2 linked regions of the Diceros bicornis minor genome follow. The protein of the gene in region 1 binds, or shares a complex with, the protein of each later gene. Links are inferred from orthologs where the notes say so. Each region holds a gene or a part of one and is shown in the gene's direction. Other genes may lie near its edges.

What was found.
Region 2: the proteins of NR5A2 (region 1) and NR0B2 are in contact, whole or in part, in a crystal structure (PDB 1YUC), measured with the Homo sapiens proteins. The link is inferred for Diceros bicornis minor from reciprocal best matches to the Homo sapiens genes NR5A2 and NR0B2. Residues at the interface, in NP_995582.1 of Homo sapiens: Phe354, Val357, Arg361, Phe366, Val371, Asp372, Gln374, Met375, Leu378, Gln379, Asn529, Asn530, Leu531, Glu534, Met535; in NP_068804.1 of Homo sapiens: Arg17, Pro18, Ala19, Ile20, Leu21, Tyr22, Leu24, Leu25, Ser26, Ser27, Ser28.

Annotation. Positions count from the first base shown.
Region 1 is NC_080777.1:28,490,108-28,501,755, forward strand, and holds the start of NR5A2 (nuclear receptor subfamily 5 group A member 2), read left to right. Parts: upstream 1-6,999; 5' UTR 7,000-7,153; exon of another isoform or gene 7,154-7,617; 5' UTR 7,618-7,672; coding exon 7,673-7,754; intron 7,755-7,856; exon of another isoform or gene 7,857-8,326; coding exon of another isoform or gene 8,327-8,327; intron 8,328-10,497; exon of another isoform or gene 10,498-10,652; intron 10,653-10,682; exon of another isoform or gene 10,683-11,248; coding exon of another isoform or gene 11,249-11,249; intron 11,250-11,597; coding exon 11,598-11,648. UniProt on the Homo sapiens protein: Orphan nuclear receptor that binds DNA as a monomer to the 5'-TCAAGGCCA-3' sequence and controls expression of target genes: regulates key biological processes, such as early embryonic development, cholesterol and bile acid synthesis pathways, as well as liver and pancreas morphogenesis.
Region 2 is NC_080752.1:42,663,446-42,674,982, reverse strand, and holds NR0B2 (nuclear receptor subfamily 0 group B member 2), read left to right. Parts: upstream 1-7,481; coding exon 7,482-8,022; intron 8,023-8,938; coding exon 8,939-9,237; 3' UTR 9,238-9,475; downstream 9,476-11,537. UniProt on the Homo sapiens protein: Transcriptional regulator that acts as a negative regulator of receptor-dependent signaling pathways. Specifically inhibits transactivation of the nuclear receptor with which it interacts.

The DNA of each region.
Region 1 (11,648 bases):
CACCTGGAAGCCCAGCCTCTCCCAAACACCTCTAGGGATGCTCTACGCAGGCAAGAGTCAGACATCTTGCTCCCCGAGGCCGGAACCTGCCTCAGGATACAGCTACTTATTCGGGCTGCACTTCCTTGCTTTTCATCTTATTGGAACAAAAACTTCTCTGAGAAATCCAGTGGGCTTCAAAGAGCTTCAGGAGTTTGGGGGGCATTGTGGTCTGGGGAGGCCCTGGGGAAGAGCTGAAATATGACGCAGTGTGAGCTTGAGAGTAAGCCTGGGAGAACCATGTGGACTGAAATTGGCCAAATGAACAAGGCTGCCTCTTTCTTAGTTTTTCTTGGAAGCTCTGTTATGTGTATTTCTGTGATTGATAAGAATAGACATACTTAACTTATAAATTCCAAATGACCCGAATGCAGATACGCATAAGCAGTTTGATCTGGGGGGAATGTAATAGTCCCTGAAGACTGTGTCAAACACTGCAAGATAGTCAAGTTAGCAAGTACTTCCCACTGGAAGGATCTATTTTTTTTTTTTTTTTTTTTTTTTTTTGTGAGGAGATCAGCCCTGTGCTAACATCCGCCAATCCTCCTCTTTTTTTGCTGAGGAAGACGGCCCTGGGCTAACATCTGTGCCCATCTTCCTCCACTCCATATGGGACGCTGCCACAGCATGGCTTGCCAAGCAGTGCGTCTGTGCGCGCCCGGGATCCGAACCAGCGAACCCCGGGCCGCCGCAGCGGAGCGCGCGCACTTAACCGCTTGCGCCACCGGGCCGGCGCACTTAACCGCTTGCGCCACCGGGCCGGCCCCTGGAAGGATCTATTTTTAATGGTCCTATAATGGTTAGTGATGCCCTTTGTAGTTATTTTCCTTACAGAAAAATGAGTTCGAATGAAGTTAGAGGGAAAGAGAGAAATACAAAGGAGAACTGATATTTATTAACAGCATGATATGCTGAATTACTGGCACTTTCTCATGCAACTATACAGTTTGCTTTGTTAGCCCTACTTTATTGATAAAAATGGAATCAGAAAGGTCCAGGATTTACCCAAGATCACTCAGCTTGTCAGGAGAGTAAACTGTAAATAGAACCCATGGATAGAATTTGAAAGCCACTGCCCTTTCCTCAAGGTAGTAACTCTCTGCCCTTGTTGATATAAAGGCATTATTGAAAACAATGTTGGTCTACACAGACTTCCGAAAGGCATTCCCGGATGAAGCTAGAATGGCTCTTTATCTTCCTTTCCATTCCACAGTAGAAATCAGATTTAGATCCCAGTGAGTTCTGAAGGGTGGGATGGGGAATTGGGGGGTGGGGGTGGAGACAGCACATGGGAGCCCTGAGGGCAGGGCAGGGTGGGAAGGTGCTTCTGGTCTACTCTAGAGTCTCCTGGAAAGGACCTCTGGATTGTGGCTGAGGATTAGCTTGCAGTTACGTGGTGCATGGTGGCAACTCACAGGGCTACTGAGAGGATGACCAGGGAACTGAGAGGAAGTTCAGAGCATCTACTTGTTACAGAGTCAGTGGGTATGAGGAGGGCAGGGAAATCACTCAAAATGAGTGACTGACTTTAGAAAGAAGACTTTTTTCCCCTAAGAGACAAATATATTTGGTCTTATGGCGGGGGAGCGGATAGGGAAAGAGAGAATTTAAGCACGTCCTCCTCTTTTTTTTGACGCAAAGCCGAGCGTGTCCCCTTCAGTGAGCTCCGGTCCACGCCCGGCGCTAACATTTTCCACAGTGAATGCAGATTCCTTGCTCAGGATCTGGACGTCCGCAGCCTCAGCTCCCCCAAGTTCCACCGCCTCCAGAGGTTTTCTATAGGATTGGAAAGAAAATCGGTCGGAACCCGCCTCCAGGTCCCCGAAACAACGTCCCACAGTTTCCAAACAAAAGCCCTGGGGGAAAGCGAAAGAATTTGCCCCAAGCCCTGGCGCACGCCAGCCACCATCTTTTAACTACAAAAGTTGTCTTCAAGTTGGAGGCGGGTTGGAGGAGGAGCCGCCCCCATCCGGCACCCGGCATTCGCGTAACCCCCCAGACCTTCCGCGCCGCAAGGCCGAGGGTGACGAGACCCTGCAAGTCTCACCTTTCTCCAAGCCCCCACTTTATTTGCTGCCCTAGAGGGACCCAAATTGCTCGACGCCCACAGCTCTGCGCGCCCCGGCTCTCTTTGATCTTAAGAGCCGGAAACCCTGGCGTGAGGGCTGTCCTAAAACAAGAGTTTCCGAGGGTCGGTCCCAGTGCTGCAGGAGCGCCGGAATTTGGAAGCCACGCGACACGTTGCGCCGTCCTTCCCGAAACTTCCAGTCTGGCCGGATTCAGTGGAATGGTAGGCTAGAATAGGCTAGTGCTGAGGATTTAGTTGCTAGTCCAGGTTGAGGAGGGGGCACGGGGAACAGAATGGCAATGCAAATATTCAGCTGGTTTCACTAAGTGCTTGGTGGCCTGCTGGCGCCACGATCGTCCTTGAGAACGTCACTCGATGTTCTGATTTGTCCCGAGGATGGACAGGGGTGGTTCCGAGAGTGGAGCCCCACAGTTTTGAGCTGTAGCTGACTCACATCTCCCTTATAATTACAGAGAGGAAGAGCTAGATTAGATTGGACCACCTCCCCAAGATTATTTCCCCAGTCATCTCCTTTCCCAAGACCGGATCTCCCCGTTCACTTCCAAGGGCACCGACCATACCAAGGCGGGCGCGCCTGGCCCCGTGGGTTGGGGCAACACGCCCCCAAGAAAATGAAGTCAGAAAGTTCTACAGTGAAACGTTTTTTACAGAGCAGCAGATTTCGATAATTCAGGCCAAACTCTCCAAAAACCTCACCTTACCTTCAGGGCAGGGATGGGAGGTTGTCTGGGGGATGGGGTGGAGGAGCCTAGATTACCCAGATAATTGCTCCACCTTGCACTTTCATCCCCAGTAAAGACGGGGCGGTGTGTATTAAGATACTCCCATAGTGATGGTGAAGCAATCGCCATTTGCAGGCTATACCTAACCAGCACTCTTTCAGGGGTAGAAGGTCTAAATTGGCAGTTTTCCTTCCGCACTAGCGGCTGTTGTTAATGATGTCTTAAATAGTTACTTACACACCCAGCAGAAAGGGATTTTTTTTTTTTTAACGAGGCACAACTTCTCACCTATTGAAGTTTATTTTTTCAAAGCTTCGGCCAATACGATGCTTCTTGGTAATTTAGATATCTGTGCTGAAATTTAAGCTCTCTCTTTTTAAAACAAAGTGCTCCGGACGCCGGCGTGGGGAGCCCAGAGGCGGGGCGGATGGCCCAACCCCCTGACTCAGGAGCGGAACTGCGGCGTTCTTGCTAAACTCAATTTTCGGAGAAAGGCAAACGTGGCTTCTGATGGGCTTTCGAGCGGGAGGGGCGGAAAAATTAGGCAGAGCCCGAGCTTCGGTGGGCTGATAAACTTGCTTCTCTTTCCCCTCGGGCTATCCCGGCCTCATTGTGGAGACTGAAAAAAAAACCTAGGTTTCTTCTGGGGCTGAAATGTAGACACGTGCTACGAAAAAAAAGTAATTATTCTGGTTTCTTAAGAACACCAAAAGGTAGGAATGGAGGAGGCTTAAGAAATTGTTTCCAAGGATGTAGGTTTGCAAGTTTGCGAGGTTGCGTGGGTCATGAGAGGCTTCTCTCACCCATGCGCGCGGTAGAGGTGGGTCTTCTACTCTGTTCTTCCGGGGACCTGTGTTTGCCGAGCCCGGAAAACTTGAACCAGGAAACTGAAAGTCTTGGCATTTTCTCTCTCTGCAGCCTGCACGCGTTAAACGCGCGGGCCGACCGACGCTTCTCAGGTCGGGTCAAGGGCAGGCTGTTCCCGGCGCGCGCTCTGAAACGCGGCGCGCAACCGCGGGAAGGTGGAGGCGGGGAGGAGAGCAAGGCAGTTACATCCTCGCGGGTGGGAGTGCGAGACCTCCTCAGCTGCAGCCTGCCAGGTGAATGGGGCGCACAGCCCCGTAACGCTGAGCCTGAATAAAATATGCCAGGACTGCGCTTCTCGGGCTCATCAAGGCTGCGGGAGCCTCCCCGAGCCATCATCCTTTGTAATTGCAACCGTCAATCAAGGCTTTAAGACAAAGTCAGAATCGGGAAGGACGAGCCCTGGAGACTAGTCTCGTCGGAAAGGAGGAGGCGTGTGGGAAGTGGGGGAAAGGGGAGAGAAGTTTGCCAGAAGTTGGCAGAGGGAGTGCAGGAAGAAATTGAGAAGGCGCACTGTAGCTAAGCCGGAGCCGTCTACCCCGGCCTCCCGGGTTCCGGTCTCTGGTCTCCAACACCAGTTAAAATTCCCACAGCTGGGGTGGATTCCCAAGCGTGCTTCCACTAAGAAGCAGAGTGGCTCCAGGTAAGATGCCCCGGGCGGAGGATCGGGTGCGTCTGCCCGCCCATGGGGGCTCTGTCAGCCCCAGCCGGTGGTGTAGCTGTCTCCCAGTCCGCACCATCAACGTTAGACCACACAGGCCCTGTCCCCTCCTTGCATCTCAACGGCTTCCCCTTCCGCGTCCTCTGGGCTCTCCCGCCTCACAGCGCGGCCTCTGCAACCTAGAACCATCCCCAGGTAACCGACCCGAGGCGCCGCGGGCGGCCTCCGGCTCCTCCTGCCCAGAGGACGTTGTAGGAGACGCCCAGGCCGATCCCAGGTCACAGGGCAAGCGGGTCCCCGGCTTCAGTGGGAGCCCCTGCCCACCGGAATTGCAGGGTCAAGGGACCAGAGTGAGTGTTCGGAACGAAGAGGGAGTTCAGAGGGGTGGAAAGTGCGCTTGGAGGGCGGTAATGAGCGCGGCGTCGGAGGCTTGGTGCCGCCGACCTCTCTCTGCGTCGGCCCCGGAGTTGGGAATTCCGCCGCTCCCCTAAGCCCCTTGCGGAGAGACCGAGGAAAAGGTGAGTGTGCCCTCGGGTCTCCGACAAGAACAACTGCAGGGGAAGCTTCGACGTCCCCCGGGAGGATCTGGAGAGGGCTGGCCCTAGGGAGCCCTTCCCTTCCTCGAGCTGGAGGCCTCGAGCGCCAAGGGCTGGGAATTGCTCTGGTTCTCAGAAAAGGAAGTCTTCTCTCGGCTGGAGACCTCCTGCTCTTTCGGTGCCCCTTGGGTTGGCTGCTAACTGAGCCGAGCCGTCAGCCTGGACCAGAGCTTCAACGCAGGGTGAAAAGCCTTGTTCCTTTCCTCTGTGGGACAACTGTGGATTGTTTTAAGTGCAAATTTTAAAATCTTGTCCCCAGCCCTATCCCCCTACACACATCGCCCCTCCTGTTTTGTGAGGAGATGAATGAATGCCAGCTGGCCCTTTGTCACCATCTCTCCCACTCTTCAGGGAGCGTAGTTGGGAGGGCAGACTGGCCTGGACTGAAGAGGGCTTCTTGTGGCCTTAAGTCGCTTCTGGGGCTGAAGCTGGGTTATGAACGTGATCACAAAGTTTGCCTGGCTGTCAGGCTCAGCCTCAAGTGCACGCAAAGATTTTTGCCACACTACAATTACATGGTCGTGTGGGACCCTCTTCCTACTTTCAACTCTCCTGAGTGCTGATTTGAGCTCTGAAACTTACCTCCCTTTCTGAACTATGTAGGTACATATATTCTTCAATCACAACGATACTTAAAACAACTGGTAATACTGGAAATGGATTGACAGTGTGACTTGATACTCTCAGGAAAACCTGAGCATCTTAAGTGTCACTAATTTTGGCAGCTCAAGCCCACTCCCCCTTATGAACTGATGGACAGCCCCCTCCCAAGTTTAAATGGTTTCATGAAACCTGAAGAGGCTACTAAAACTGAAATTTAAATAACTCAGATTCTGAATATCTCCTGAAGAGCAAAATGACAAATCCCTTTAGAGAGCCCAAATTATCTGAATGGCCAGGGGTGGGTGGGTATGAACCACCCACTTCATATAAAAGTGTAGATTTTGCATGGCAATGATTGGAGTATTTTTCAATTTATCAAATACTGTACTGGGCAGTGTGAATGTGTGATCTCTATGCCATTCAAATAGAATAAATTCAGATCTTTTGAGATTCAAATTCACCGCCTTGTGGGTGGACTCTGATAATTACCCGGTCTCACAGCAGACACTGAATATGAGGCATTTCTCGTCTGGTCAGGAGGCTGGAAAAAGTGGTTTTCATCTTGGGATGAGATCTGAAAACTTTGAAGATGTGGCTGGGCTGGTGGCGGAAGAACTTGCATAACAGATGGTTCCTTAAAAGTTTTTTAAAGTGCTGGGCCTCTGGGCTTCATGTGGATCATCCCACCAGAGACACCAGGATGAAAAAGAAAGCCGACTGAGCTTTGCATGTTACCTGGAAGCACAGTTCGCTAAAATTTAGGAAGTCCGCCGCTAAAATAATCTTAGCCGGGCGGGGGGCGGGGGGTGGTGGTTATAAGTGAGTTAAGAAGCCGGGGAAGAGTGCGAAAACAGGGACTGCTGGTCCTCACATTTCCGGCAAGTGAGTGAACTCTCAGCGGCATGGCTGTCCCCTCGTGAGCATGGGCCCAGGGCGCCCGGGGCCCATGGGGGGCCTCTCCGCAGACCCAGTGCCCCGGGGGAATGAAGCCGGAGACCTGGAGAGCTGGCCAGCTCTGTTTTGGAGAAGAGCACTCAACTGAATTCAACATCTCTTTTCTCCTTTAGGTAGTTCAACACTCCCCCTCCAGCTCCTCACCCGACACACACGCGAGGGCACACACCCACACCCACTCACATCCCCATCCCTGCTCCTGGCTTCCCCTCAGCTCCAGGAAATAGCCGCCCTAGCCTTTCATCCTTCGCCACTGCGCTCAGACAGAGGTCGCTTCTCACCAGCTGTAAGACCCGGCAGCTTTTACATCCCCCGCCCCAGGCCAGGGTGGGGTGGGAGGGGGTGAAGGGGTGGAGGGGCTGGGGCAGGCGAGGGGACTGGAGCATGCGCCTCCTCCTCATTGGCTGGCGGCTGGTGTCCGACCCGAGTCCGGAACCCGCGTCCCCATTCACTGTCATCACCCCTCATCCCAGCCTTGCCCCTGCCCCCGGCCCTACTTACCTTCCTTCTCCTTGTCTTCCCCCCTTCCTGCCGGCACGGCCGCCCTCGGGGCTGGAAAGGGCTGCTCTCGGACCCGCGAGAGGAGTAAGGGAGGCTGGAACTTCACAACTGCACACTTGTGACAGTGAGCGAGCGGGAAGCGGAGACAGGGGAAGGGACGGAGAGGAGAGAGGAGAAGTGAGGCGACAAAGAGAGAGAGAGAGAGAGACCCCTGCAGATCCTGAGCCAGAGGGCGGGTGGACGGAGGGGTGGGAGTCGCCCAAGCGGTCCCTCCGGGAGCGGCGGCAGGTCCGGGGCCGCCCCCGCTGCCCGCCCGGAGCCAGCCGTACACGATCCGCCCGGCAGCTGCGCCCTCGCCGCCGCCGCCAGGGCCGAGCAGACCCAGGGCGCCCGGACGCCGTCTCCGCTCGTCTCCTCCCCGCGGCTGGGAGCGGCTCCGGAGCTGCGAGACTGGACGGGGCTCGGGGGTCGGGACGCGCAGCCCCGGAGGAGGCGGACGCACGCTCCCGCGAGCCGGAGGGTGAGCAGGCACCCCGGCCGCCCCTGCCTTCTTTCCGCCGGAGTTGAATCTGTGCTGCCCGTGTCCAGGTGCTGAGCTTCCGGACGGACGCGGACCCCTCTCCCCGCCCGCGGCCGCCTTGTCATGCTGCCTAAAGTGGAGACGGAAGCCCTGGGACTGGCTCGGTCGCATGGGGAACAGGGGCAGATGCCGGAAAACATGCAAGGTGAGCAGGCGCTGCGCGGGCTCGGGCTCCTCGGCCACCCCACCCCCGGGCGCGCCCCGCGGGCGCAGGGGTGGCCAGGCTGGGCGCTCGCGGGCGCCGGGCCCCCTCCCCAGGTGCACGCATAAAAGTTTATGGCTCTTGAACAATGCAGGGCGGAGGTTTTCCAGGCAATGCCTAATTGGCCGCTTCTAATTAAGCAGAGAGGCTTCGAGCTCTGTGGCAACCCGAGCGGGGCAGCTTCAGGCTAAAGATACTTTAGAATAATAAGATCATTCTAAGAAATGGAATGTCTCGCTGGAAGCCCGTGCAGGTTCTCAGTCATTGGAATCTGTGGGAACTTTAACCAGTGCTCTTGTGTGGAGCAACACCACCCTGCCTAGGAAAGTCAACCACAGAAAGAAAAGGAGACTCTGGAAAAGCTTGTCTTAGCGGTGTTAGAATGCATGTGGGCAACCCCAAAAGCTCGGGGGGACACCGGGAGCCGGCTCGAATTTGGACGACTTCAGAACTGCGGGCAGAACTGAAAAGAACCTAAGTTACCCCAACGGCCGTCCTCTGCGCGGGTACTGCCGAGTGAGTGGAGGGCGGGGGCAGCGGTTTAGCTTCTTGCCTCTTCAGTCAGAGAGCTGGGAATATGGAAGTCATATTTGTTTTCCCAGCTCTTGATTGCTAACAAAAAAAAAAGCAGAACCCGCTGGCTATATTTTCTCCGCATTCCAAAATAGCGATTCTAGATCTGGCTGTATTGAGCCCTTCAGAAGTTGATCGCAGTTGCTCTGGGCCGGGGAGGGAACAATGCTAGGAAAAGTCACCGGCGCCCTTCCATCCTCTCCCTTTCCAGCGCGCAGGATGTGCGGGCAGGCGGGCCTGTGATCCCGGGACGCTTCCTGCCATCCCCGTGAGCGAACTTGAAAGGACCGGGAGGTGTTGAGAGCGGAGTTCAGGGCTGGTGCACACGCGGTGCGGGATAGGCGGCGCGCCCGCCCGCCTTGGGAAAAGGGGTGGCGGGAAGGCGTGCGTCCTGCCTGTGGGGTCGGTGACCCTGGAGTCTCTCCAAGCTTCCAGGAAGGGCTGTGGAAGTCCCCTGGGGCTGAGGCCCCTGAGAGTAACTTGTAGGTTGGCTGCTGGGGGAACCCGGTTGGCCCAAAGAGGCATTCCCGCGGGCACCTGGATTCCCGCGAAGTGCGGGCGCGGGGGAAGCCGGATCGGGAGACCCTCCGCCGCCAGCTGCGGAGAGGGACTGTCCTTTGGGCGCCGTGAGGCCGGCGGATTGTTGGGTCCAAAAGGAAAGTTTCTGCCCCTGGTTCCGTCGCGCGCCTTTCTGAGGGACTCGGGGGAAAGAGGCTCAGGGAGACGCTGCAGCAAGAAGTAGGGGAGGCAAGAATAAGGGGGTTTGGGGGGAAATGAGAGAGAAATGCTACTGTAATATTTTCTTTGTAAAGTTCAAGAGGGGCGTTCTTGGATGACCTACTGTCCCAAAGCGGAAAGTTAGCTTTCTCTCGGGCGCAGGGCTCAGGAGAAGCCGCCGGCCGCTCGCTGGGCGGTTGGAAAGCCTTGTGGGAAGCGCCGGGCCACGGCTCCCTCTAGGCCACGCGGCCTGCCCCTCGAGAAGCCCCTGGGGACGGAGACCCCATGCCCTTGCTTGCTCTGGTCTCAGCCGGGGACGCGCCGTAATCTGGCCCGTGGGGGAGCCCAGAAAGGGGACCCGCTGCTGGGTCCCGGGGCAGCGCAGCGCGTCCAACTTGGGGAAACTTCCCGTGCCTGTCTGCGGCCTTAGCTTTCCAAGACCCCACCGACCCCTCTACTTTCTCCAGGCAGGGACTTCTTGGCCCCGCCGGCTTCGGTTCTCCAAAAGCCTGCTTGGGATACAGCACCTGGGGACTCTGAAAGATGCCCGGTCTTGCTTAGCGGCCTCTGTCTTTGAACTTTCCACGAGGGTCCCCACCCCCAGCCCCTGTCCCTTCGGTGTTGGATGTCCGAGGTAGGCGCCGAGGCCGCCTATGAATGGTTGCTTCTCTGTGCGCCTTGGGTGCGAAGGTAGAGTTTACTTTTCTGGGGAAAGAGGAGGTAAAGTACACTTCTTTTCCGTCCCTAAAACACGCCTCAAGGCAATAGTCACGAGTTTTAGGAGAGATGGGACTATAAATAAACTTATCCAACCCTCAGCCTCCCCCAAGCCCCCAGGTTCCCAAAACCTGAGCGCAGACTTCTTAGGGTTGGGACTCGGGCTGGCTCCGCTGGGAGGACTGCGCTCAGCATCTCGTTATTTCCGTCTCCGGAGCCCAGGCGCCTGCCTCTGCTGGAACATCTTTTCCTGAGATCCTCCCAAACTCTGGCTAACTCACTCCAGTTCAAGCCCCAGGCCAGGGCTCTGTGTCTCGGGAAGAGAGGCTTCAACTCAGCCAGTCGGTGCTCGGCCCTCAGCCGACAAGTGCTGCAAGTGACCTCCCCCTCCACGGCCCTTTCCTGGGGCCCGCGGAATCCTTAGAGAAAAACTTTATTTTAAAAAGAAAAAAAAAAAAGAACAAGTCATTGGCAAGGAGGCCACTACGGTGATAGAGTGGCCGGTACTTCGGGGATGCAGTGGGGGCTTTTTCTCTCTTTCCTTTTTGGTAAACAAATCAGAGGAAACTTCTGCCCGGCCATCAGCTCCCCCTCCCCCCCGCCCCGCCCCCTGCAAATGCCACTGATTAACTTAAAACAAACTCGACTCGGTGTTTGTGCGCCTGTGTGTAGCCGAGGTTGAGCAAGGGACCAGAGGCGAGTGCGCCTCGGGGTTTCACAGGAAGGCGCCCCGAGGGGTGCGGTCGGTGGCCGGGCTGCTCGAACCTGCCCCTGGCCGTCGGGACCCGCGGCGCCTGCCCTCCGAGTCGAGAGTCTCAGGGAGGGACTGATCAGGTAGTATCTGGGGTCTCCCGGCCACTGCCCCTCCTGTCCGGAGTTTATCCATCTTTTAGCAGCGAAGACGCCGTCGCGAGGCTGCCTCCCGAGGAAGGCGGTTACCCAATCCCCGCAGTGAGGCGCGGCTACACGGCCTGATTTCTGTTTAACTTGAACAGGGCGATCTCGAGGTGTTTATATTTTGCAGTGATGATCGGAAACATGTGAAGTTCAAGACAGGGCTTGCAACGAAACCAAACCCTCGTGTGTGTCTTTTCCTCTTCTTTACTTTTTCTTTTGTTCCGGCGTCCTCCCTTTTTTCTTTTTCTTTTTACAGGAGATTCTCAAATGTGGGGAGATGAAAGTACCCAGCACAGGAGCCCTGCCAACACGGAACTGAATGTTTCGATTAATCTAACACATCTGAACCGTGGGAGCCGCAGGCTGTTGTAAAAGTGGGGCTGAGGCTGAGAAGCAGGCCTGTGGGGCTTCAGGGTCTCGGTCAAGTGTTTGCAAATTGGTGTTGCCATCCTTCTAAGCGGGGTGTACTTGCAGCAAACTTACTTCAGGACTGGGAGAGTGATGTGTGTGCTTGTTCCTCTCCCTGAGGCAAAAGTGACATTGTGGAACTTAGTTGTTAACTTTATGCAATTCGTGTTTCTCTTTGGATTGGCGTTTTGCAGTTATGTGTTCAACAGCGGTCACTTTAAAAATTTTTATCAAAAGAAATTGGAATTCTTTTTAAATTAAAAAAAAAAATGTGAAGTGCATGCTCATTGATGCCAAAAGATATTTCACTTTCACTGCATAAAAATAGTTCTCTTCAGTATACCTGGGTAAAAATTATTTTTATTTTTCCGGGTGATATTTGCCCACCAATCACCAAAATGCTTTTCATTGCAGGACTAAAACCTACATGGTAAATTAATTGGAGATGTGTATACATTTCTCTTCTTGTTTCAGTGTCTCAGTTTAAAATGGTGAATTACTCCTATGATGAAGACCTTGAAGAGC
Region 2 (11,537 bases), on another chromosome or scaffold:
ATCCATCTCCTCTCACTGGAATATAAACATAATCAAAGATAGAGCTTGTCTGATTCATCCAAACATTCAGCTCAGAGTCTCAAATGTTGTAGACCCTCAGTAAATATCTGGAGAATGGACAAATGGTCTTTGCTTGATACTATTGCATCTCATTACATAACTTATCAATAAATATTGGTAAAATTTATTGACTTATTAAGTACCCAGTAGTGTACTGAACATTTTACAAACATTACTTGACTTAACACAATGCTCCTATGTTACTGTCCCCATCTGAGAGATGAAAAAACAGGGACAGACAAGTGAAGTCTTGTGCCCAAGGTCACAGAGCTGAAAAGGTAGGACCAGGATTCAAACCCATGCAGCCTGTCTCCAGAGTGCACACACTAACCTACTTCACCTTAGAGTTCTGTCTCCCTGAATTGGCATTCTGATTTTATACATCAGCCCCAGACGGTTATTTGATGTGACTCTTCCCTGAGAAACCAAGGCCTGATCTTGGACCCTGGTGAATTTACTAAGATAATGAATGTCCCCCTCTTGGTGACCAATCAGTCTCCCCTAGTGACCTCTGACCCCATCTACATTTGAACACCACTAATGGCAGGCAAGTGGCTGATTACACCAACCGTGCTAAGTGCTCTCTGAAGGGTGTGGACTAGATGACAGGGAACTCAGGGAGGGAGCAATTTATTCTTCCGAACAGGTGGAGAGGGCAAGACAGGAAACCTGCACTAGAGCAGTAATGTTTGAGCTAGACCATTAAGGGTGACCAGGAGCTTACCAAGCAGACAGGGTAAGGGAAAGGCATCCCAGGTGGGGGAACAGCATGGGCAAAAGCTGGGAGGCACAAAGGTGCATGACATGTTCAGGAAACGAAAAGGTGCCCAGTGCTGGCTCTCTGACTCCCAGTTCCAATGCTTAACCCATGCCCCCTGCAGCCCAGGATCTCCCAGCTGCCCCTTCAATTAGTCTGAGGACTCGGTGCACAACAAAAACAAACGTGCATCCTGGGCATAGGATTGCAGAGCATTTTCACATACATTATCTTATGGAGTGTCCTTTAATTTTACAGATAATGCAGTGCTTGACACACAGTAGGTGCTCAATAAATGTCACTTGTTATCATTCTTAGGATGTTGATGATTATTGTTCCTGCTTGGACAGTAACACCCCCATCCTATTGTTGCATGAAGATTAACTGAAATAATTGTTGTGAAAGTACTTGGTAAACCGTAGAGTGCTGTACAGATGGGAAAGCATTGTCATGAACTTTTCCTCCAGAAAGTCTTCCAAATTCCAGCTCCTTAGCCCCCCGTACCATTTGAGCATTCCCGCCCACCACTGATGTGGCGTCCTGGCTCCCTTGTTAGAGCTACTGAGAACGGGGCTGTCTCTCCCTCCTCAGAATGGGGCCTCCTCGGGGCTGGCCTGTGTCACCCCAATTAGATTTGGGGTTCCCAAGGGCAGAGCTGTGTCTCCCCCTTTAGACTGGGGTCTCCTGAGGGTTGACCTATGTCTCCTCCTTTAGACTGAGGGCAGGGCCTAGGCAGAGGGCAGCTGATGGACCATTTTCTCCCACAGAGGCCTCCTACTTCTCTGAGTGAGTGGCCCCAGTCAGGCTCTGGGCTATAGAGATCCCAGCTGAGGCCTTTCCTCACCCTCCAGGGCCTCCAGGACTAGCACCCTGGTCTTCAGGCCATACACAGGAATCAGAAAACACAGTTCCCCACAGTGCAAAAAACGCAAGACTTAAAACCTGGAGACCTAGCTTCCAGCCCAGCCTTACCGTGACCCCCACAGAGGGGTCTCCTCCCTTCTCTGGGTCTCCTCCTCTGTAACCTCATCCTCTAGGAAATGAGGGTAAAAAAGCAACAACAATAATAGGGACAATTTCCCTCCTTTATGGAGCACTTGCTGTGTGCCAGGCACGTGTGTCCTCACAAACACCTCACTTGAGTCTCACTAGCACCCAGGAAAGGCACTATTAGAGGCAGATTTTCTGTGAGGCTAATGAGGCTTGAATTCCAGGGCCTGCACGGGCCCATCCAAGGCACTGGGAGAGACCCCAGCAACGTCTTCTTAGGGTCAAATACATATATATTTTTTCTTTTTAATTTGCAAAGATAAAATTTTAAAACTACAATTGTTTAAAAACCACTGTTTCTTCCCACTCTATCCCACTTCCCAATATGAATTATTCCCAAGACACCTAGAATTACGTGCGTGGTGGAGGAGAAAAAAATTTGTGTGGATCAAGAAGCCAATCTGTGCAAAATTCTTTCAATCATCACGAAATTGTCATTTCATATTGACACCAACTCAAAAAAGGAAGTTCTCTTGTATAAGAAATATGCAGGCTATGCAATTATAAATGCTCCATGCATGTTTTTCTTTTTTGATAGGAATTACACAAAGTAGAAATTATCAAAATTCCTACTACAAACCTATAAGCAGCACGACAAGTAGCAAATACATCTACATGTGAAGTGGCATGTCTTATGTATCCTAACTATCAGGAATAAAACTTTTTTGTTGATCAACCATGGAAGAGGAAAGACAGAATCATTCTCACTAGAATTCTTACTGTAGAATTCTCACTGTTGATTCTCACAGTAGAATCTCACTGTATCCTCACTGTAGAATTTTATTTTATTTTTTAAATAATTTTATTTATTTATTTTTTTCCCCCAAAGCCCCAGTAGATAGTTGTATGTCATAGCTGCACATCCTTATATTTGCTGTATGTGGGACACGGCCTTAGCATGGCCGGAGAAGCAGTGTGTCAGTGCACACCCAGGATCCGAACCCGGGTCGCCAGCAGCGGTGCACGAGCACTTAACCGCTAAGCCACGGGGCTGGCCCTAGAATTTTATTTTTAAAAATCATTGACAGCTCTACTTCCTCCTCCTCCTGAAAATTTCAATCCTAAAACTATTAGCAGAACAAGGTACAAATATGCACCAGAAGAGAGAGGGAGCCACAGCAGCCCAGAGCAGAAGTTAGAGCTCCACCAGGGTGCGGAGGGCGTCCACACAGAGAAGCCACCTGGTGTTGGGTGACAGATCCCCAGCTGCGTGAAGAGGGCGTCCCCGAGGGGGAGGGGGCACCTGACACAGGTATCAGAGCCCAAGTGGGGTAGGGAGACATCTCACAGGGGAGGGGGCGACAGTGGAGATGGAAGATTAGTTACAAACGGTGGCTTTATCCAATAAGTAAAAAAATTAAGAATAATGGAAGCCAGATTTCTGAGTGTCGGAGAAGGGAGGTGTAAATACAGAAAGAGCGAAAACTAGAATGAACCTTGTTTTAGTGGATTAGAACTGCAGATAATGATCTGAACTCATGTTTTTTAGTATATGTATGAATAAATATAGAAATAAATATAAATGTGTGTGTGCGCGCGCGCGTGTGTGTGTGTGTCTGTACATTCCTTAGCTCTGGGACGGCCTAGGAGCAGTGACACCCTAATAGCAATGAGCAGATCTTGGTTTTTAAATATTCTAGTCCCCAGATTATGGTTTTTAAATACTCTTCTCCACTAGAAGATTGAATCAGAACTTCTTGGAGTACTGGTTGATTCCAGGGGCTTGAAAAGTGGTATCTTCTTATACCAGAAGACAAAGGATGTTCAAAGAATGATGGGGCATGTCAAAAAGACACAGACTCCGGCTTGAAGGGGCTCCCATTGGCCAAATCTGTGACAATTTTAGCATCAAAATAATGATAGTAACAGATTGCAAGCCACTGAATAAAATAGGAGACCCTGCGTTCCTAACTAAATACATACATACATACATTCAATGTATGAGGAGGAATATATAGATAGTTTTAAAATACATCCTCATAGGGCCGGCCTGTGGCTTAGCAGTTAAGTGCGCGCGCTCTGCTACTGGCGGCCCGGGTCCGGATCCTGGGTGCGCACTGACGCACCGCTTCTCCGGCCATGCTGAGGCCGCGTCCCACATACAGCAACTAGAAGGATGTGCAACTATGACATACAACTATCTACTGGGGCTTTGGGGGGCAAAAAAAAAAAAAGGAGGAGGATTGGCAATAGATGTTAGCTCTGGGCCGGTCTTCCTCAGCAAAAAGAGGAGGATTAGCATGGATGTTAGCTCAGGGCTGATCTTCCTCACAATAAATAAATAAATAAATAAATAAATAAATAAATAAATAAATAAATAAATAAAAATACCTCCTCATAAAATACTGATTCATTACAAAGAGGAAAAGATGAACTATAGTGGAGAAGCTTGGCAGCCATCACCTTAATCAAGTGACCAAAGTGATCAATGGGACAAATGGAAAAGTACGCTCCCTGATAGGATGTATCAAGAGGAACACAGTACCACTTCTGTGATATTCCTGCTAAAGATACATAGCCTGAGCAATCACAAGGAAGCCTCAGACAAACCCAAATTGAGAGCCATACTACAAAATAACAACTCTCCAGAAGTGCCAAGGTCGTGAAAGGCAAGAAAAGACCAAGGATACTTCCTGACTGATAAAGACTAAAGAGACATGATAAAGAAATGCAATGTGAGATTCTGGGCTGAGCCCCTCCACCACCACAATTTCACTGGAGCATTTGGTGAAACTTAAATGGGGTCTGAGATTAGATGTTAATTTCCTGATTTTTTTCCATGTTAATTTCCTGATGTCGATGGTTATGCACTATATATTGTGGTTATATAGGAGAATGTCCTTGTTTGTAGGAATTACACACTAAAGTATTTGGGGGTTATGGAGCATCAGGTTGGAAGTTTACTCGCAAATGGTTCAAGGTTAAAAAAGTTCTCTGTACTGTACTTGCAAACGTTGTTTGTGATGGTTTCAAAATAAATATCATTGACATGAGAAGAGGTGAACAAAGAGTGTGCAGCTAAAACACGTAGGTAAATATTGTCAGGCAATTGATCAGTAAAAGTACCTTGGTATTCTCCTGGGTTTGCAATGTTTGTGTTTTCTGTTGGCTTATTTTAGTTTGTAATTTGTAGAGATTTGTTTTTTCATTTTAATTTTTTTTATTTATCTATTTTTCCCCCCAAAGCCCCAGTAGATAGTTGTATGTCATAGTTGCACATCCTTCTAGTTGCTGTATGTGGGATGCGGCCTCAGCATGGCCGGAGAAGCGGTGCGTCAGTGCGCGCCCGGGATCCGAACCCCGGCCGCCAGCAGCGGAGCACGCGCACTTAACCGCTAAGCCACGGGGCCAGCCCATGTTTTTTCATTTTAAATATTCACTTTCATACCTGATTTTCTATTCTTAAAGAAGGCCCTTCAGATTGTATAAGCTTCATACCCCATAAAACCAATATCCACTATTGGCCTTTCTTACCACCCTTTTAAAGATGAGGAAACTGGGCCAGCCCCGTGCCTTAGCGGTTAAGTGCACGTGCTCCACTGCTGGTGGCCCGGGTTCGGATCCCGGGCGCGCACGGACGCACCGCTTCTCCGGCCATGCTGAGGCCGTGTCCCACATACAGCAACTAGAAGGATGTGCAGCTATGACGTACAACTATCTACTGGGGCTTTGGGGGAAAAAATAAATAAATAAAATTAAAAAAAAAATTAAAGGTGAGGAAACTGAGGCATCGAAATATAAAGTGACTTGCTCAAGGTCTCTCATCTAAGTGATGAAGCAGGATTTGGACCCAGGCGGTCTGACTCCAGAGTCTCCTTTGAGGGGACACTGTGAGGATTCAGTGAGATAAAAGGACGTGAAAGGGGGGCTGGCCCGGTGGCGCAAGTGGTTGGGTGCGCACGTTCCGCTGCGGCGGCCCGGGGTTCGCCGGTTCGGATCCCGGGTGCGCACCGACGCACCGCTTGTTAAGCCATGCTGTGGCAGCGTCCCATATAAAGTAGAGGAAGATGGGCATGGATGTTAGCCCAGGGCCAGTCTTCCTCAGTAAAAAAGAGGAGGATTGGCATTGGATGTTAGCTCAGGGCTGGTTCTCCTCACAAAAAAAAAAAAAAAAAAAAAAAAAAAAAAAGGACGTGAAAGGAACTTTGTAAATGTAAGGATTAAGATTATTGACAATCAAATGAAAGATGCATGCCCATTTGTCTGCTGGGGCTTATTTCCTTAGGCAGAGGGAAGCGGGGGCAAAGCCCTCCTACTGTATACCAGAAACTGCTTGGAATTTGACATCCAGGACCTCACTTTGTCCTCACAGCAGCCCTGCAGGCAGACAGACATTATTGTTCCAGGTGAAGCTCCTGAGGCCCACAGAGATTTGGGGATCAGCCCAAGGTCACACAACTAGAAAGTGATAGAGCCAGGAGCAGATGCCAGGGATGGTGATGGCTGCCCAATGGTGTGGTAGCAGAAGGCTTGCCAGGCTGGGCTTGCCAAGGTCCACAGATATGACACAGCCGAGGACCTTCCCACCCGCTTTCATAATCCACGCCCCACCGTCTGAGACAGATGCCCAGGACAGAGGAGTCATGTGGCTGGCGGCAGAGCAACGTTTCTACTCAGATTATAAGTGGGCGGCAGCAAGGTGGGGGCCCAGGTAGTCACCAGCTCTGGGAAACCCAGGCCACACAGCTCTGGCTACACAATTGGGCCAGTGGATCCGGAGGAACAAGCAAAGACTTTGGAGTCAGATAGATCTGGGTTCTGTCTCTTTTTAGTGGCGTGACTTTGGGCAAGTCACTTCACCTCTTTAAGTCTCAAAAAGTAAGACTCCTGCCTCATAGGGAAGCTCTGAATATTAGAGTGGAAAAATACCTGGCACATAGTGGGTGCTTAATAAACAGCAGCCATATTGTATTATCATTCTGGGATGGCAGGAGCTCTAGGAATCCAGACTGGAGAGAGAGTTCTTAAGGACCTTATTTCTGCAGGGCCCCTCAAACTGGAGTCAGTCCACTCCTAGACTGCACAGTAGGCAAAGTCCTCTCAGCCTCCTGGGGTCTTGGCTCCCTTCCCTGCAGCCTGTTCCTTACCAACAACAGCAGCAGGGCCCCAAGGTTAGGCAAATAAGCCAGCGATAAGGTACTTCCAGGTTGGGCCTTGTGTTCAAGGCTTGTCCAGCTCGGGCTGGCTTCCCGGTTTAGCGAGAGTCTCACAGGCACCAATAGGGACACTTGCCATGGCCACCTGCTGATCGTGCACCTGAGGCCTTGGTGCCCTGGTACAGCCTGGGTTAATGACCCTGTTTATCCGCTTGAGTCATCCGATAAGGGGCAGCCAGGACAACGGGCAGGTGGCCCCATGCCCTGCACCGGCCACTTCATTGACTAAAGCAATATCAGGGCCACGTGGAGCTCCCAAGGCCCCCCCTGTCCCCTGCCACTTCCCCACTAGTCCTGCCAGGGTCAGTGTGTGTTTCTTTTTTTTTCAATGAACATGACTTCTGGAGTCAAGGTTGTTGGGCTGTTCCCTCCTCCCCACCATTGGAGATATAAATAGCACCCACAGCACAGAGCAGAGGGCGGGAGAGCTGGGAGGAAGGAGGAGCAGAGCCTCAACCATGAGCTCCAGCCAGCCAGGGACCTGCCCATGCCAGGGTGCTGCAGGCCGCCCAGCCATTCTATATGCACTTCTGAGCCCCAGCCTCAGGGCCAGGCCCTCTGTGGCCCCAGCCCGTGGCCACTGCCTGTGCAGGCAGCACCGGCCTGTCCAGCTGTGTGCTCCCAATCGCACCTGCCAGGAGGCCTTGGATGTTCTGGCCAAGACAGTGGTCTTCCTCAGGAACCTGCCATCCTTCTGCCAGCTGCACCCCCAGGATCAGCGGCGGCTGCTGCGGGGCTGCTGGGGCCCTCTCTTCCTGCTTGGGTTGGCCCAAGACACTGTGACCTTCGAGGTGGCTGAAGCCCCGGTTCCCAGTATACTCAAGAAGATCCTGCTGGAGGAGCCCAACAGGAGTGCAGGCAGTGCCCAGCCGCCTGATCGGCCCCAGCCCTCTCTGGCTGCAGTGCAGTGGCTTCAGTATTGCCTGGAGTCCTTCTGGAGCCTGGAGCTGGGCCCCAAGGAATATGCCTACCTGAAAGGGACCATCCTCTTCAACCCTGGTGAGCTCCTAGGCACTCCTGGATGGGGGCTAAGGCTGGAAGGGAGCAGGGCCCAGCCAGGGAAGGCAACTTCTAAGGGCTTGACATCTGTTATCTCTTTGAGTCCTCATTATCACCAAATAGTTATCTCACAAAAGAGGCTCAGAGAGGCTAAGTGACTTGCTAAAAGTCACACAGCCAGGTGGGGGCAGAGCAGGGATGGGAACTCAGGTCTATTCCAGAGACTTGCTCTTGCCACTCTGCCCAAGAAACATGCCCTGACCCTCAGGGAAGGTGGGAGTGGGGGAGGGGAGGGTGGACAGACACAGCTGTGCCTCAGTCACAGGTAAAACTCTGTAGTTTCAGAAAGACCACGTAGAGAAGAGGAATGAAGACGAGGGGGTGTGGGGAGGAGAGGGAAGAGTCAACAGATAAAGGTAGTGTTCTTTGTAATCTGGAGAGCTTCTAGACGAGAATTCTTCATCAAAGGGCCCTCACAGAATGTGTAAACTAAAGTAATTAATTATAATAATTATACTCATATAACAGCTAATACTCATATAACACTTACCATATGTTAGGTCCAGTTCTAAGGGTTTTACATATACTAGCTCATTTAAACCTCATAACAAGCCTAGGAGATTGGTACTATTATTATCCCCATTTTACAGATGAGGAAACTGAGGTACAGAGATTAAGTAACTTGCCCAAGGTTACACAGCATGGAATTCAAACCCAGGCAGCCTGGCTCTTAACCATTACTCTATACTGCCTCTCCATAAATGGATGGATGAATAAAATGATAAATAAATAAATGGATGAGGTAGTAATGGGGCCTCAAAGGCCGAGCTGGTGGCCTCAGGTCTTGGGCCAGCCTTGCCCTGTGGTGTCTGGGAGTGGGGTGCTCACCAGCCCTCTTCACCTTCTCTGCCCGCAGACGTGCCAGGCCTCCACGCCACCTCCCACGTCGGGCACCTGCAGCAGGAGGCTCATCAGGCGTTGTGTGAGGTCCTGGAGCCCAGGTGCCCAGCAGGCCAAGGCCGCCTGGCCCGTGTCCTCCTCACAGCCTCCAGCCTCAAGTCCATTCCGCCCAGCCTGCTTGGGGACCTCTTCTTTCGCCCTGTCATTGGAGACATTGACATAGCTGGCCTCCTCGAGGACATGCTTTTGCTGAGCCAACCTGCTCCAGCCCAAGCAGAGATCAGGTGTAGGGTGTGCAGAGGCTGGCAGCACTGATTTGGCCTGGCTGCCTGTCCCCAGGGGTGACCCAGTGCTCCCAGAGGATGCAAACCTGTACAGACAGCACTTGGCTCCTGAAGAGCAAGCTGGCCCTGGCCCAGCCACACCCCATGTTGGCCTTCCTTGGTTTGGACACTGCTCCAGCTGTCTGGCCGGCCCTTGGTGGTCCCAGAGCCTCTGGGCCAAAACTCCTGTCCCCTCCTGGGATGGGGATGAAAGCTTAGTCTGCTCATTGGGCCAGGAGTCCTACTGACTTTGTACAGAAACGACTTAAGTTATTGGTTTTTGTAATAAAAGGTGTGACAAACTTGGAGCTGACACTGTAGTTTGTCCCTGAGGAAGGAACCATCTCATCGCCAGCACCCACCCTGCCCCTATCAGAGGGAGCCCAAGAGGAAGGAACCATAAGGGGTGCAGGAGCCAGGCCTCAGGGAACTGGGATATTAATTTTTCAGGATGGAATGACGATTTCATTTCTGGAGATGAGATTTATTTTGCATGGGTCTGAATCCAGGGGATAGTATCAGTTCAGGACCCCCTCACCTCCTTGCCTTTATCTTTGGGGGGAGAGGGTATCTCTCCCTCTCCCCAAATCCCCCACGGACCTCTCTCTCAGCTCCTGCCCCAGGCTCCCTCTCACCTCAGTGAGAGTCAGGTCACAGCCAACGAGGAAAATGAAGCTGCCCATTCCAAAATTGAAACAGACAAGGTCATTGGAATTTCTGCAGTTTGGAATCATTCACTTCCCCCATTCCTGCAGCCCACAGAAGAGGGTGGTCCATTGTTCTCTGATCCGGAGGGGGCAAGGGACCCAGTGCTGGCCTGGCAGCTCCTTGGAGGCCAAGGCAGGCCAGGTTTAGCTGCCATGCCAGCTGGTGAAGTCTGAAACACTTTCATGATAGTTGGTTCACAGTCACTGCCCTGAGCCCCCCCGAGCTCCTTCCACTGCCCCTCTGCCCCAGCCCTTCTCCTGGAATCCAATCCCATTGTCCAGCAACTAGAGAGGCAATGCTTGGGTGGCCACGGCCTCCAGGGCTGCTCCATTCAGTGCCTGGCTTGTGTCCATTCTGATTGGTCGATGTCTGTGCCTCACGGTTTGTTAAATATTTTGAATATCCCCCAAGTCAGGACGACTGAGCTGCAGGGTGGGCAGGAGGGAATGATAACAACACACATGCCTACAGGACCCCCTTTCAGGCCTCCTCCTTTCTCCAGCAATAAGGCCTACCGACCAGGCCCCAACCCCTTCATCACCACAGTTTGGATTCTTCTCATGAAGGCTAAGTTAATTATTGTTCAATGAGAGGTCATTCACTTGGGGACAACAGTCTAGGAGTCGTCATTCAGGCCTCTCCCTAAGGCCCCCAGGATAGGGACCACAATTGAATTGGCCATGTACCCATTATGGGAACCTAGTGCCAGCAGCAAGGGCACCCCTGTGCCTTACCCAATCACCCACTCATCACTCTGACACCCAATGAGACAGAAACACACAGCTCGGACCCCACAACAAAGACACACGCAACTCAGATCTATGACTCTCTCATATACACACTAAGACATACAATGCAGATACACCTACACAGACCCATAAAACAGACCCTCCAGCTGCCCACACACAGCAAAGAAATGCACAGCCCATGTACACTCACTCGGTGACATACAGCGAACTCAAACACATTCACAGAACAGAGACACACACCCAAGCCAGATGTTCATACATACTCCCCTGCGCCCAAGGGTGGGGCACACCACACGGAGGCACTCTTACACGAGGGCATGTTTTCCATCTTCTGTATGTCACAATAAAAGGAAAAGTGGCCCCCAAAGTAGGTAAATCTGTGTCTGCACATCTTCAGGGTCTACCCAGAGCCTGCAAATCCAGGTCAAACTGCTCTGCCTGGTGTTTGGGGTCCCAACTAACCAATCACGCCCTTTCCCCGTGGTGACCCCAATATCCACCCTCCTCTCAGACAGGCCATGCCCTGCTCACCAACTCCCCCCATCCAGGACCTAATCAAATCCCTAAATAGAAGCATCCTTTAGAGCCCAGAACAAGCCTGGGATCCCTTCACTCCCTCACTGCCCACCAGAACCCCCAGACCCAGACCTCAGGTCCCCAGGCACCTCTCCTTGCCCTGCCCCTCCCAGCACTGCGGCACACATCGCCCCATCTCGCCTTGCAGATGCCTAAGGTAACTCTTTCAAGAGCAGACACCTTGTCTCCCCATAGGAGCCAAACCCAGCAGACTCAGAGATTTCGGGTCATTCCATCTTTTATGTCCCTTCACTAACTG